Ovis aries: one gene and its partner. The protein of the gene in region 2 purifies or fractionates together with the protein of the main gene of each other region. This does not show direct contact. Links are inferred from orthologs where the notes say so. Each region holds a gene or a part of one and is shown on either strand. Other genes may lie near its edges.

Region 1 (4,127 bases), on a different chromosome or scaffold from region 2:
ACATATACTAGCATAGTAATATACCATGCAAGAAGGACCCAATGATAACACAATGCCTGAAGTTCAGGAATTAATAATCCTCTCCACCCTCTTTAAGAGGGCATGTGGCACCTGTTCAAGCACTAATAAGAGTAGAAGAGAATAGTTAGTAATAGAGCTAGATATTAAGAGATTAGAACACCTAGCTCTCCCCCAAGTTATAGAGCTGGTCCATTCATTAGACAATTTAAAAAACTCTTTATCACCTGTACTGTTTCCTCCTACCCAAAGAATTCTTAAGTTCCTCCCCCATACACACCTTAAAAATAGTGGCAAGCAGATAAACTGCCAATCACATAAAGGCATCTTCCTCAGACTCAAGGCTAAGATACAAAATGCAAGTCCAAATTCCAACACTCTCGGACCAGGGGCTCCATTCTGGGCAAGAGGAATGAGACAGAATTAAGAGCTCAACATCAGCAGGAACTTCATCTCTGGCTCAGACCCTGCGGGAGACAAAAACAGCCCTGCTCTTAGAGCGGTGAGACTCTCAGCCAGTGATTCTTTCAAGCCTGCTTTCTCATTTGAAAGATGAGTTATAATACGTGAGATAATTTGTGGGTGAAGCAGTGCCTAGTTTGGAGTAAGTCTCCACAGCCACAGGAACAACAGAACAGTCACTACTACATCCTCAGTGCCCAGGGTAATATCGAGCACACAGCAGGCACTCCAGATGTTTGCTGAATAAAGCAGAGGCCCAATTAAAGCCAGTCTGAGATTCAAACAAAATGTGTGGGCCCAACCTGTAAGTGAGCCCCTAACTTAGTCCAAACTAGGGGTCACATATTCTAAGGACGGCCCTGGTCATCAACAAAAGAAGAGTCTATTCATTTGCTTCTGGTCACAACCTCCAACAGAGACCCTGCCTCTGAAGAGCCTCAGCACACCAAAGTTCTACTTTTATTTCACCTCAAAAGACTACCACTTGCTGCCCTGGGGCTCCTCTGTCTTCTTCATCTTTAGAAACAACAGGCTCACAAAATGACATCTCAGGCACTTGACTTTAAGTCTCCTTCAAAGAGACTTGGTGACAATTCTCAGGCCCACGGCTGCACTCTGCCAAGACAAGCTTTCCTAGTTGAAAGATATCACCTATTAAGAAATGCAGCAAAGAGAAAGGAAAAGTCAAGTGAAAGACAATTCCACTATCTGCCTTTATGTTATTTCTGATTCTTAAAAATAAAAGATGGACCAAATTATTCTTAAATGGGTAGACAGGAAAGGCACCCAAAAAAAGGAGCTCAGCAATCCAAGGCATCCATCCCTAGAGCACTCGTTTGGCCAGAAGGAGACACTCTCTGGCTCTGCAAATGACAAGGGAAATCATACACAGAATGTAAATTTCATTTCTCCCCTGCCAAAGGGAAATTTGCAAAAATGGTTTTGCAAAAGGTTCGAAAATCTCTAAGGATAAGTTTAAACTTCTTTCTGAGCGAAGATCGAGGACATTCCTTCCCAAACCTTTGAGTTTTCAAGGATATTGGGAGAGGTAAAAAAAGCAGAGTGAGGGAGCGAGAGAGGGAGAGGATATGTTCGTTCTATTTTTAAACCCTCGCCCACAGTTTAGAGTAAAGGAACACTCTGATTCTGTACTCCCACCCCTATCACCTTCTGCTAAACACAAGAATCAGAACCTGCACACGTACGTGGCCCTGATTCTAGATCTGGTGGGTTAAAAGCTGCCACTATTCCAAAGAATCGCGAGCTGACCAACCACCCTACCCAGCCCTTTTCTGGGAAGGGAAGGAGATCTCTCGGAGACCCCGGCGGCCCTGAGCAGGCGGGAGTGAAGCAGGCACAACCCGCCTTTTCCTGAGGGGAGGCAGCGCCCCCTTGGCAGGGCACGCTCCATTCCCACGGCTGGGCACTCAGGGGTGAGCAACTCTCCCCCAAGGAAGCCGGAGTCGTGGACGCGAAGGGGTTTCCCAATATGCTACGGTGCTCCAGGCACTCCAGTCCCACTCCTGAGACACCTGTGTGACGCGCACACCCACCCGCGGCGCCCCAGAGCGCTACTCGCGCTCGGTCACCTCCCAGTCCCCTCGGAACGCAAACGGCCGGGTGACGGGTCTCTGCCTTCACTGTCTTGTTGCTAGCTCGCCCATTTTACGTATCCTTTCCGCTTCGCGACAAAGGTCTACGCCCGTCCCTCAGCGCCCGGGGGCAGAAATCCAGCCGGGCGCGGGACCCCTAGGTCTGAGCGCCGCCCGACGGCCCCTCCCGCCCCGGAGCACCGTCCCCGCCAGGCTCCCGGGCACTCACTCTTGAGCGCGCTGATGAGTGACTTCCCGTCCTTGATGAGCTCCTTGATGAATTTGTTGGTCTTGTCCAGCTCCGCTTCGTGCGACTTCAGCGTCTCTCGGAAGTGAGGGCTGTCGAGGCAGCAGTCACTGAATTCGAGCGCGGGCAGCCCCATGGTGTCCGCGGCGCCCAGCCGGGGGGCGCGCCTCCCCCAGGGCTCCGGCGGCCCGCAGCCCGGAGCACGCACGCGGCGAGACCCTGGCCGGCACCCCCGACGGCCGCCGGCTCCACAGGTGTGGCGCCGGCTCGGTCTCAGCGCGGTGTCCGCGGGCGCGCACGATTCCTGAACAGAGCCTGGAGGCGAACGAAGAGCGTCTGCTCCAACGGCGTGTAACCGAGAGGGCGCGGAGCAGGAAGAGCAGCTGAGGACCCGCAGCGGCGACGGGAAGGGAACGACCAGTCGAGCGAGTGCAGCAGCCGCCTGCCCGCCTCCCTCGCCAGTTCGCTCTCCTGCAGCTTCGAGCGCCCTCTCACAGCAGCCTCGGCCGCCCAGCCGGCGTCCGAGCCGGACGAACCTGCTAGCAATGACCTAATCCCAGCCAAGCCAATCAGAACCCCGTCTCAGCCCTACCCACGGGCCTTCCGAGGATGCCCGGCCCTTCCGCGACCATAACCCAATCAACGGGGTCCAGAGGCGGGGTCTAAGTCGGGGGCGTGGCCCACGCCACCGCCTAGGTCCGCAGCACAAGCTCCGCCCTCTCCCGTCTGCTCTGGGTTGCACAGTCGGAGCCGGGAAGGAACGAAGATTGCTGCCGAATGGGCCAGCGCAGCGGCCGGGATCCGAGCCGGAGACGGTGCGTCTGCATATCTGGGAAGCGGAGGAGCCTAGATGTGCCGAACATGAAAAATCTAGGAATTTAGGGCTGCAGTTCCCCTAAGGCTGAGGCAATCGTGCTTACACTCAAAATGCATTCCCCAGTCGGACACAACTGAAGCGACTTAGCACTCGCGCACGTCCCAGGAGAACCCCGAGCGTACCAAGCGACCACGTCGCCCCTAGACACAAGCTCCTTCTTCCACTCAAGCAAAACATACTTACATCTTAAAACTACCAGCTCTTCTGGCCTGCAGTCTTCCCGCCCCCTACAGTCCGGCCCCCTCAAGGCCACTCCTGCTCAAAACCCGCCCACGGCTGCCCCCAACCGAAAGATCTAACATCCTTTCAAGAATTTCAGCCGCCTGTTTTCCTGCTGGGCACCTCACACAATTTTACATAATTACGTCCACTGCCTGTAGTCCTTTGCAATAAATACTGTGAGCTTCAAGACTACGAAATGAGCCACCGCCGCTTTCTTGTGCGCTGCGGCATCCCTAACGCCTAGAACAGTGGCTGGCATCTAGTAACAGATACTGAGCGCTTCCCTTGTGCTATATGTGCAACGGCGATTGATAAGGATTTGTGGAATAAACGAATGGATCCGTTCCCGTGTCTTTCTCCACTTTCCACTTTCCTGTAATGTGTTGCCCTATTGCCCTTGGGTTCCACCACAGTAATCAATCCAGGCAGCTCACTAACTGCACCTGTCAGTCTGGATCCCACAGTGTCCAGTGCTGAACTATGAAGTGCTAGAGGAAAGGGACTGTCTTTGAATAAATTATTCGTATGTCTAGGAAGGAGGAGCCCTCCAGTTAGGTGGTTTTGTGTGTGTGTATGTGGCTTGTTTTTTGTTTGTTTGGTTGTCTTTGTTTTTGTTTTTACATAGGTCTGCTATGTGCAGGCACTAGACTAGATACTAAAGATGCGAAGATGAATAACACAGAATGAACCTGTCTGCTACTGGTTAGTG
Region 2 (3,500 bases):
CAGGGACAGGGGGCCCAGGGAAGGCTGGTGGGAAGAGGTGAGAGGGGGACCCACCGGGCCTGGGGCTCAGGGAAGACGTCCTCATGGATCTGCATCATGAGGTCACCGCCGGGTGCAAACTCGGTCACGAAGCAGGCGTGGCTGGAGGTCTGGAAGCAGGCGAGGAGGGGAAGCAGGAACGGGTGCCCTGTGCAGCCCACGGCCTCGAGGATTCGCTTCTCACAGTACAGGCTGCAAGAGGAGGGCGTGGGTTTTAGGCAAAGAGGGAACCCAAAAGGGAACTAAGACCTCCCCTGGCTGTGCCCTGCCACCCACACAACTCCCCTGGGCCACTGGCTCTTAAAACTGCCAGGCAGGTAGAGTGACGGTTCATATGTACCCGGGGCTGGCACAGGTCTCGAACTTGTACCCCCACCCTGTTCCCATTTCACAGATGAGGAACCTGAGGTGCACAGAGAGGAGACCTGCCCAAGGGCACACAGTTCACAACTGCAGTTGCTAATTAAAGAGCCCAGGCCTGGCTGGCCCCACAGGGTCACTTCTTCGAAGCCCCAGCAGCATTTAGCTGCCTTCTGGAGCCACCAGTGAGCCCCCCAGCCTCAACACACACCTCTCAATCTCGTCCCGGCTCAGCACCTCCTGCTTCTTCAGTGCTTTGACGGCATAGTATTGCCCCGTCCCCTTGAACTGGACCAAGAGGACCTGGGGACCAGAGAGAGGTTTGGGCTCCAGGAGGGCAGTAGAGGAGTCTGCTTCTCCTGCCCACTGCCCCCCAGAGCCCAGAGCCCTCTAGCAAATGTTCTGGGGCCTGCCCACTCCCTTAGCCCCTTACCTTCCCAAAGTGGCCTCGGCCCAGCACGGCCAAGCAGCGGAAGTCCTGAAGCCGGGGGGGTTTCCTGCAAGAGAGAGGGTACAGGAAGCCCCCAGGACAACGAAGGGCTGGGCCTCCACCAGGAGTCACTCCAAACCCCCTGTGTTCAATCCTGGGTGGTCCCCCTCTAGTGGGGAGCTGCAGAGCCCGGGGTGGGGCAGGGTTCCCAGGACTGCAGTTTCCTGGGGTCTGGCAGGCAGGCTGAGCTCAATAATGTGGGTTCAGCGAGTGAGAACCTGAGAGCAAGCCAAGGAGCCTGGGGTGAGATGTGAACATCTGACATGCAAATACCCAGATGAGTGGATAAAATGTCTCAAACACCGAGGTGAGCCTGCTGGGGTACCTGGTAGCCGGGGCTGGCAGAGGCAGCTCACGTCGAATCCTGGGCTCCATGTGGGGGCGTTTGGTGCGCTGCGAGGGGAGAGGATCTCAAGGCAGAGCAGGGCTTCCTTCCCTCGAGCCCTGCCACCCGACCTGGGCAGCACCCAGGGTGACCAATCCTGCCCTGCTGCCCCCTCACCGGCATCTCTTCGGGGGTTGGCTCCTGGGCCAGGTAGAGGCGAGGGGGCTTGGGTGGGGGTTGGATCTCTTCTCGCAAGGGGGTCTTCTTGGGTGGGAAGTTACTGTGGGGTAGAAGCAGACATATACCGGGCACAGACAGCTGGAACAGTGGCGGGCAGGGAGGGCAGGGGTAGACACACAGCCACGCGGGACAGAAAGACAGGTCAAAGGGTGAGCCATGGGGCAGGCACCATCTGAGTCTGGAGAGAGGTGACTCCGCAGAGAAGCAGGCAGCCTGGGGTGAGCGAGGCCCCTCACCTGGGCGAGTCAGGATCGGTGGCCCGCTGGGGTGTGGCTGGGGTCTGGGAGCATGTTTTCGGGGGGCTGATGGTGCTTGGGGAGCTGCAGGGGGGCAGCAGGCTCATGACCAGGCGCCCCCAAGCCGCCATGCTGAGGTTCATCTGGGAAGCCCTCAGGAAGTCCTGACCTGGGGCAAAAGCAGGCTCAGTCTCGAGGTCTCCGGAGGGGCCCAGCCCTGCTCCCTGCTCGCCAGCCTTCCATACCTCTGCGTTTTGAGAAAATGCGTTTCTGCCTCTGCAGTCGGGGCCTCCTCTCAATGACAGGGTCACAGAAGGTCACCTGTGGAGGCAGGGGGCAGGGCTGAAGACCAGTCCCCTCCCACCTGCCGACCTGTCCCGGGAACCTCCTCGGCCTCCAGGATCCCAGCCTAAGCCCGTTGTCAACAGATGCAAGAGCTACAGGGACTCAGAGAGAATGGATTCGGCATCCTCACTGGTACCAGGGGGAAACTGAGACCTGGAGAAAAAGGGACTTGTCCAGGGTCGTGCATGCGGTGGGGCGGTCAGGACAAGGAGAGGCCGTTCCTCTCCTGTGAAGTCCTCAGAGAGCGGCTGGGAATCTTTCATCCCTGGAGAGCTCTTCCCTCAGGGCCTCAATTTCCACTCCTAGCTGTAGGTTGGTTGGGGGGCACAGTCTCCAAGGCCTCTCTCGAGCTAACAGAGCCAAGGGCCCGTGAGGTCAGAGGGCAGGGGCCGGGAGGCACCTGGGCGAAAAGCAGTCCCTGTGGTACCAGGCTGAGGGACAGCTGGTGACAGGCATTGTCCAGGAAGTCCTCCAGCCTCAGGAAGGCCACACCGCACAGCTGCCTCCAGTCCCGCCAGTGGACCCCAATCTCCAGCTCCCGGGCCTACACAGGGAGGCCAAATTGAGTTAGGGGAGCCTGGCACCAGCTACTACCCATCCAGCTTTCCACCCCGCTGCCCACGATCACCCCAGTCCACACAAGGGCAGCCTCACCCGCTCCAGGGCAATAACAAAGGTCTGGTCCCAGGACTGCTTGGCCACAGGCCCCCAGCCTGTCTGGCCCACAACGCGATTGTCCACCTTCAGCACAGCCAGCACCTCACCTGCAAGGCCAGAGGTGGGGCTCAGGGCAGGCCAGCAGTGGTGGGGGGACCTTCACGCTCCCCAGCTCCCCGGGGCCCCTACTCACTAGCTAGCTCGCCTCCACCACGCTGCTGCTTGGCTCTGCTCCGAAGCCAGCCTTGGGAGGGGCTCCCAGCCAGCGCGGCCGCGGGGGAACGTCCAGGCACCGCTATCAGCAGCTGCTCACAGCCCAGGAGGCGGACCTGCAGCGTCCCTGTCGGGGAGTGTGGTGGAGGAGCCATCATCGGACACCATCCTCCAAGGGGTCGCTGGGACCCCAGGAATGCTGCCTTCTCATGGAGGTAGCAAACCCAGAGCCTGCTCGCCTTAGGCCTCGGCAGCCACCTGGGGGCCACCCTGGGGGCCGACCAACTGGTCCTCCCCCTCCTGCCAGCCCTCTACATGTGGGAAGAAGCAGGGACACAGAGGCAGAGAAGTCAGACTCAGATCTCAGTCCGCATGCTGCCCAGGGCTCTGGACCTAGGGAGCACCATGTCAGGGACGAAAGCCCCAGAGGAGCAGGGTGCCTGGCCAGCTACCTCTTCCCAGGGCCTGCTTCCCCGTCCATATAGTGGGAAGGAGTGCCAACTCAGCCCCACTTCCTGCCGTGGGTACCACTGTGTTTTGCCAACCAAGTGGGTTCATTTTGAGGATCAGTAGAGATTTGTCCCTCCAAGGGCAG

The links.
Region 1: the proteins of PKN3 (region 2) and ARHGAP26 purify together in Homo sapiens (affinity purification with mass spectrometry; 3 studies listed by BioGRID and IntAct, with this or other methods). This does not show direct contact. The link is inferred for Ovis aries from reciprocal best matches to the Homo sapiens genes PKN3 and ARHGAP26.

What each region holds. Positions count from the first base shown.
Region 1 is NC_056058.1:51,459,780-51,463,906, reverse strand, and holds the start of ARHGAP26 (rho GTPase-activating protein 26), read right to left. Parts: upstream 2,801-4,127; 5' UTR 2,456-2,800; coding exon 2,302-2,455; intron 1-2,301. UniProt on the Homo sapiens protein: GTPase-activating protein for RHOA and CDC42. Facilitates mitochondrial quality control by promoting Parkin-mediated recruitment of autophagosomes to damaged mitochondria.
Region 2 is NC_056056.1:7,683,796-7,687,295, forward strand, and holds part of PKN3 (serine/threonine-protein kinase N3), read right to left. Parts: intron 3,033-3,500; coding exon 2,886-3,032; intron 2,800-2,885; coding exon 2,690-2,799; intron 2,580-2,689; coding exon 2,436-2,579; intron 2,012-2,435; coding exon 1,936-2,011; intron 1,860-1,935; coding exon 1,691-1,859; intron 1,495-1,690; coding exon 1,392-1,494; intron 1,283-1,391; coding exon 1,215-1,282; intron 897-1,214; coding exon 833-896; intron 703-832; coding exon 611-702; intron 232-610; coding exon 55-231; intron 1-54.